Xenopus tropicalis: one gene and its partner. The protein of the gene in region 2 purifies or fractionates together with the protein of the main gene of each other region. This does not show direct contact. Links are inferred from orthologs where the notes say so. Each region holds a gene or a part of one and is shown on either strand. Other genes may lie near its edges.

Region 1 (4,274 bases), on a different chromosome or scaffold from region 2:
TGAGCATGTGCCCAACACAAGTTCTTGGCATACTAGGCAAATATGGTTGTATGGCACCCCCTAGCCAAGTACCCTGGCCCAGTGAATTACTTTTATTGAAAAGCCGTTTGGAACAATGAACCTATTAGTGTAGCAGCAGAGTTCTTTCTGTGCATATCAGCATGCCCCTTGTGCTTATGTATCTGCCCATGTACCCTCTGACTCTCCTCCCAATGATTGGTACTAATAGCAACCACATTCCCCATGCAACTGTGCCATCACAGAACTTAAAGTGTAAGAATTGGTAGATATGTTTAGTATTTACATATGCAGCCTGCAGCCCTCCAGCCCAGGGTCCCCTGTGACACCTTAAAATGACAGTGCTGCACATTTTATGATTTGTGGCTGAAAAGGTAAATTGATAGACAGGGCAAGAACAGGAACCTGACTGCAGGATGGCTGGGGCAAAAATGGCAAAAGTTAAATGCCCTCCAGCTGTTAAACTACAACAATGATTGAATTGCTAGCCTGAGGATGTTTTGTAAAGGTGGCCATACACGGGCCAATTTGGAAGCTTATCTGCCTGTGTATGGGCACCACTGACGGGCCTCCCCTACCAATATCTGGCCTGAAATTGGTCAGATCTTGATCAGGCAGGTTTAATTTTCCATTAGATCAGGGACTGCATCAGCTTGTTGATGTGGTCCCTGATCCAACAGCGCCTTTGCCCACTGTATAGCCTGGTATCCCCCACCCGTTGGTGGGCATATTGGTAGAAGATCTGCTGGCTTGGTGACCTCCCCAAACAAGTGGATCTTACAGTGTATAGTAACAATAAATCAGGGGCTTTGACCTTCTGAATAATCCTTGGTCCTTAATTCATGATGCTGTAAAGATGATAAATGGCGGGTAACATGGCAATCCAATTTAAGGAACTCTGTAAACCTTAGGAATTTACCATGAAAGTGCTGTTCCCCTCTGAGCCCCTGTACCTACTAGCCTCCTATTATTTTCAGGGTCTGCTTCCCCTACAATAAAGGGTAATAAGCAGCCATGAACAGATAAGTCTAAGCAACTTTCCAAAATGCATTCACTAAACTTTTTTCAAATGATCTGGTTCTGACTCCTGAGACAATGTATCTGAGGTCAGTTCCCCCTTCATTCCGGTCTGTTAAATCAACAACATTGTTTCAGGAGTAAGAACCAGATCTAATCAGATACTGATTTCAATAGCAATTACAATTACACAAAGCTAGAACCAATGGACATTTATGTCGCATTCTCTAAATATGCCCATAGGTGGCGCCTGTTCCTTTAGTGTTTACTTCCCGCATGGCCCAGGCAGGGTTAATAATGAGAGGGCTGGCCCTGGCGAGGTGCGGCTTTGTCATCGCTTTCTCCTTTGCTTGGCTCTGGTGTCAGTCTGTCCCGACACCCTGTCTGGTACATTAAAAGCACTGCTGCCGAACCCGGTCTGGATCTGTTGCCCTGAGAAGATTCCATAGTGTTACTGAGTCGCAACCGCAGGTAAGAGACGGAAAACTGGGAGTGTGATGTAGCGTGATCCCTTGTTCCTTGATCTGCACCAACCAGGAACTGTCCCTGGATCGGACCAGAACTGAACTATACATGTATATTGGGTCCGGGGCTTGCTGCTCCATCTACACTGTGTGTAAACAACTCTGGGCTGGAGGCAGATGCATAGGAAAAGGGGCAACTGCACCGGGGCGGGGGCAAACACACTACAAAGTGATTATGGAGGTGTAATCAGAGCTAAGTGCTTGTTCCTTATCCCACGGCAGGAATATTGCGATTTACTGCAGGGTCTGTAGAAGGAGGAGGTGGAAATACAAAGGCAGTTGTGCAGCGCAACATGTGCATAGGTGGGAACTGGGCTGAGCTTATTCAGCGCTGTACAAAGTGCACAAAGGTCTATCAGTCTGTGTTACTGTTATTATTAGCCTCAAGCAGTGGTGTAACTGTCTGCTAGCAGACCCAGTGGCTGCAGGACCCACATACCCCTTGGATCCGCCCTCCGGCATGTGCTTGCCCCTAGTGTTCCTATGTGCAGGGATTTGGGTTGAATTTAACAGGGTGTAGAGGGCCCCCCAAATGTTTTTCTGCAGGGAGGCTGGAGATAGTCATGTTACATCACTGGCCTCAACACTGAGTTTATTATACATGTATTACAGGTATGGGACCTGTTATCCAGAATTCTTGACACCTGGGTTTTTCTGGATAAAGGGTCTTTCTGTTATTTGGATGTCAATACTTTAACTCTGTTAAAAAACATCTAAACCTTAAATAAATGCAAGGAGATTAGTTAATTATAAATGTGTTGGGACCAAGTGCAAGGTACCGTTTTATTACAGAAAGAAAGGAAATCAACTTTAAAATCAAATTATCTTATTAAAATGAAGTCAGTGGGTGATGGCCTTCACGTAATTCCGAGTTTTCCCAGATCTCAGACCTGTAACAATTTACACCTGAGACTGTTGCAGGGCCCCAGTCACAACAGACTTGATAGGGCCCCATTATTTATAAAGGGGGACTCTCCAACCTGTGGCCTTTCAGTTATTGAGTTGGCATGCAGCTAAAGGGCAATACTGTGGGCACTATGTCTCCATCTTTCCCTGTATAGCTGATATCCTTCATTCTTGTTGCTACACCTGTTGCCCTGATGGGCCCCTCTTGGTGGGCAGCAGCCTGAAATGAGTGCTGTAAGTGTCTTTTGTTTAAGGACAGATTGGCTCCTGAAAGTTTCTCAGGATACGGGGGAGTTGTAGTGCTGGAGGGCCGCAGATTGGCCAGTTCTGGTTTATTGTTCCTGTCTATACTGTGGAAGGCATGTGAGGAATGTCATGTTGGGTGACTGTCACCAGGCTGCCCTTGGGGCGCACCTTTTTTGCAGAACAGGGCGGAAATCCATCCCCTCAGGTTACTAGAAATCTGACACCTGGAGGGAAGGGCCCGGCCCATGTATCCATCTGTGTGTACAGTCTCTGGGCTTCCCACAGAAACACTGTTGTAAATGGGCCATCGTCCTCTGCCTAATAGGATTCTACAGTTTAATCAGGCGCAGCTCAAATATTTGCTGCTGTCACCTCACACCCCCCCTGGCACCCTGACTGCACTGGAGAGCAAACAGCAATAAAAGGAGCTTTGCCTGCACAAACCCTTATTTAGTGATCAGCGAGGGATAAAACTCATTTAGTATTTTGTCTGGTATTTAAAGGGGAACTTCACCTTTAAATGACCCTTTCCTTTGTTATAGTTAGACTGCTTAAAGCAATGTTCCACTTCATTATTTACCTGGTACGGCTTTGAATTATTAGCTTTTCTCTTATTTCTCTGTCCAGCTGGTAACTAGATATGCCACTTGGTTGTCAGGGTCACTGACCCCAGGGACTAAAAACAAGACTGCAAGGCTTTTACTGCAGTTTCTTATTGCTCCTTTTCCCATTCAGACATAAAAAGCTGCTGCTTATAGAATTTTATACAGGTATAGAACCTGTTATATGTTAAAGAAACCCAATAGGATAGTTTTGCCACCAATAAGGATTGATTATATCCTAATTGGGATTAAGTGCAGGGACTGTTTTACTACTACAGAGAAAAAGTCAGTTTTAAAAAATTGAATTATTTGCTTATAATGGAGTCTATGAGAGATAGCCTTCCCGTAATTTGGAACTTTCTGAAAAGCAGTTTTTGGGATAACCGATCCCATACCTGTACTAGTTTCCATGCCAGAAACGTGCCACCTTAAATTGACCTATTGACTTTGATGTATTTTGCCAGGTCTGGTGTGGTGAGAAATAATTGTTTAGGAGTAAGGGTTCCCACCTGGCTGGTTTTTCACTAGCCTAGCCAGTATTACGGTGTTACAAATTTACTTGCTTTACAGTATTTTCTGGTTAATTTGTAAGCATCTGTCCTTCCTGGCCCGTGACCTGATCACCACTTACAGCTGAGCCTCTTTTCCAATGCCCTGTTATCTTCCCTCCCTTCTAATCAAATATCAACACACTCAGTCCCATTCCACCCCTTTTATGTTACCACCCCTCCCCTTTTATATCAATGATCTGCCACATCATGGTCCTGCCCCCCATCGGTGCAGCCAGAGTTTTTCTCTCAGAAAGGCACCAACCTTATCTGAATGTACAGGCTTTCCAGTACTACAATTCTAATCAGTTTAGCTTGTAGGTTTCCCTTCTATTTGCACAGTTTGGCTGGAGGCAGGACAATTTGATTAATGTGATTTGGACAAATACTGCTGCATCATAATGTAACCAATA
Region 2 (3,649 bases):
CTGCTGTGTAGCCACGGGGGCAGCCATTCAAAGGAGGAATGCCACAGGTTAATTAGCGGATAACAGATAATACCTGTGCCTTTTCTCCTTTTTTCCAGCTTGAATGGCTGCCCCCATGGCTACACAGCAGGGTATTTATATAAACTATGGTTGCGATTCTTTAGCAAACATACTAGTTTCACCAGTGCAGGGCAACAGTAAATAATATTTTTATTACTTTAAAACAATTTCATTTTTTGGTGTTACTGTTCCTTTAAAGGTATTTTAAAGGTGAACTACTCCTTTTCACTCATTTCCAGTGTCTTTCTTTATTTTTATTTATAATTTTTCATTTCATCCTTTAGGAGTGGTCCGGGCAGAACAAAAAAATAACACTTTAGAAGACTTGTTTATTTTTGAAGATGGACCTTATGAAACTGGTGGTGAAAACAAACGAGATTCAGATTTAGTTCCTGCACCAGATAACAGTTACTTAGGTAATAATAGTCTGAGGCTACAAAGCCCTTTTGGAACAAACTGCAAGACTGTAGTTTAATCAGCAGCCTTCCATTTCTTATTGAGCTACAAATCCCAGCACCCTGTAAGAGTAGGGATACTGTGAGTTGGAATTCAGAAGCAGGAGGAACACATTTACATTTCTAGCATTGGACAGTTGTACTTTGTATCACTGGGTTGCTCTAATAATGTCATCAAGGACTGGCTTGTGTCTGTGTTTCCGTAACCTTGCTGTCTCTCTATCTGCTTTCTCTTTCTTCTGGGACTTCATACGTACGTATAGGCCTTCTGTTCATGACAACCATGTCCAATACTGATCCAGACCAGTTTTTGTACAAATCTGGGCCCCCCAGAGCCAGGTCGGAGAAAACCGTTGATGTGATGACTAATAGCTACCTAGGTTGGTGGTAACTGGCTGCAGAAACTCTTTCCATTGATACGTCACCTGTGGCATCACTGGCAAACCATTCTGGCCACTCACACTTCCTGCGTGCTCATCCCATGATGCATTTCTACATACATGTAATAGCGTAAATAGAATTGAAATACCATACCCAGCATCACCCCTGTCAGTTTCATCTCCACAATATCAGGAGGGAGATATTCCTGCTTTTCGTATTTAGTGTACATGTGTTTCATGGTCACTTAGACAACAAATACTAAAATCCTATTGGAGAATACTGTATATTAAATCTCTCAAAACTAAGCCATGTTATATCTGTTTGCATAGGTTAACTGAAAATAATTCAAGCATATACACATCTGTTAATATTCTCCTACTTAATTCACCCCATATTTAGTTGTACCTTGAAACACATAGGCAAAATTAAGTTTATACATGGCATAAATATATTTGCTCCATTCCTTTACATTTTTGCAGCCTCCATCTTGGTGTTGCTCCAGACATGGGACACCTGTGGCTCCAGATGTCCTTCAGCAAATCTGGGGGGCTTTAGGTGACTTATCCCTGGTATAGCAGCATGGTATCATCAAAATGCATGCACTGAGTTATTTCTTATAAATGATGTTATTGAGAGACACGTGTCTACAACAGAGTGGCTCCTTTCTGGTAATGAAGACACCATGTTCATTTATTGCATGTTAATTGTATTTACTTAAAGGGATTATTATCAGCATCATTACCCTAATTTTTAACCCAGTTCTGTAGATACTCCCAAAATAGGAAGAATATTTTTACTTTAGTAAATAGTTTTCTAAAACAGGTCATTGAATAAAATTAATTGACTTTAGCCATATCAGTTGTGCAAAGCTAGCTGTTCAGGTTCTCTTTCTGCCAGTCTTTGACATCACCAAAGCGGTGTTGCAGAGACATGATAAAAAGGGCTACTTTCTCCATTAAAGCTTGGAGCAATCTATAGATTCTGGCAAATGCCAGAGTAGCTGCCATAAGATGCCACAGACAACCAATATTTATTGATCCTGGTGGGGCCTGTTTGGACCTCTCTTTACTTGAAATGCCAGGTACTATTTTGAATCTCATTCTGGATCAGTCTCCATCTGGTCCACTTCCACCCCCCCAGCAATGACACCAACAAGAATATGAGATCAAGGGATGCTTAAGACTACTGGGCTGATTTCTGAGTGAGACTGCAGAGACTGGTTTAACAAGTTTACAGTGCTGGTGATATTAATTTTAATTATAGGAGTAAAACGTAGTATTGTAAATAATGATCCCTTTAAGCTGCAGACCATCATAAAGCGAAGTGAGATTTATCTTATTCCAGTCTTCTCTGGCTTTAATTTGTAGGATTTTCTTTGGATACCGGGCGAGGGATAACGTCCAAGGAAGAAATGACTTTTGTTTCTGGAGCCCCGCGAGCCAATCACAGTGGGGCTGTAGTCCTGCTGCAAAAGTTTCCACCCAATGAGAGGATGTTGTCTGCTGTACATACATTTCAAGGAGAAGGGCTGGCGTCTTCCTTTGGTTATGATGTAGCGGTGGTCGATCTTAATAGAGATGGGTAAGGCTGCTTGTGTATAAGCCATGAAAGCTCAATGGTAGTTCTGTCAGTACCTATGCCAGAGACTTGTGATTTCAAGCAAGACTTGTTATGTGCCTGGGCAGTGTTTCTCCAATTTCCTGTTGGCCGCGTGTGCTCAAATGGTTACTTTTTATTCAATTGTGTGAGCACAAAAACAGCAAAGTGTGGCTTACTGATATTATCACTTATTGGTCATGTGTTACCAACATGAGCTGTCAGGCAAGTGATTCATGTTCTTCTGTGCCACCGCCTTTCAGTTGTCATTATCCCCGCACTCTGTTAATGGTGTTAAGAAAAAGAAACACAGATAAGAATTTGTCAGGAAACACAAAGTGAATTGCACAAATTCTTTTCTCTGACACTGTTCCACAGATCTGCTTTTATTTTAATCTCCAGGTCAGGCTCATATCCTTCCTGTGCATACGGCTGTTAGGGCTATGGATGTGCGCCTGAGAGGCACAGACCCTGAAACACGTAGAGGCCAGTTTATGAAGGATATAGCTATATTATTTATTAAAATCCAGTTAGATTTTTCCCTTTCTCTCTTAAATTCTAGGTTACAGTGTGCAAAAGAGCTGTTTCCCAATTGTGCAAATTTGTTTTTCAAATTGTCTTTCCCGCTATTAACTTTTTCATTTTTGGTTAGTGTTGATACAGTTGGGTGTATCATTGAAGCAAAAAAATGTATTCTCAATTGACAAACCCCTCTGCTTTGATAATGCATTGATTGTTGCAGTCTTTCTCCTGACTGTGAAGAAGGTGTTTAGAAGATCCAGTGGATTCTTAATGTTAAAATGAGAAAAGTCATTTCAACCAGTAATCTCAAGCTCTTGCAGAAAAACCCTGTTACCTGACAATGAGATACACTGTGACTGGTTTACTAAGGAAGCTTGGTGCTATTGTCTATTCATTTGCACCCATGCACAGCCATCAGTGGGGTGTTTTTAGTGTTGCCACTGGGAAAGATACCAGTCCTCCACTCGCTTTTATTTACCAAAACTGGCATGAAGTCATACAGGTACCTGTATAACTAGTACAGTCATACTAGTCATACTAGTCATTCAGATAAACCTGGCAGGTATCAAACATAGGTGGCAGAGGCAACCACCATTAGCCATTTAATTTGTAAATGCCTGTGTTCATAGTAGACC

The links. Proteins that work in one complex are often made in the same cells at the same time.
Region 1: the proteins of itga6 (region 2) and cd151 purify together in Homo sapiens (co-immunoprecipitation; 3 studies listed by BioGRID and IntAct, with this or other methods). This does not show direct contact. The link is inferred for Xenopus tropicalis from reciprocal best matches to the Homo sapiens genes ITGA6 and CD151.

What each region holds. Positions count from the first base shown.
Region 1 is NC_030680.2:31,275,608-31,279,881, reverse strand, and holds the start of cd151 (CD151 antigen), read left to right. Parts: upstream 1-1,408; 5' UTR 1,409-1,506; intron 1,507-4,274. UniProt on the Homo sapiens protein: Structural component of specialized membrane microdomains known as tetraspanin-enriched microdomains (TERMs), which act as platforms for receptor clustering and signaling.
Region 2 is NC_030685.2:67,286,168-67,289,816, reverse strand, and holds part of itga6 (integrin alpha-6), read left to right. Parts: intron 1-344; coding exon 345-476; intron 477-2,263; coding exon 2,264-2,477; intron 2,478-3,649. UniProt on the Homo sapiens protein: Integrin alpha-6/beta-1 (ITGA6:ITGB1) is a receptor for laminin on platelets. Integrin alpha-6/beta-1 (ITGA6:ITGB1) is present in oocytes and is involved in sperm-egg fusion.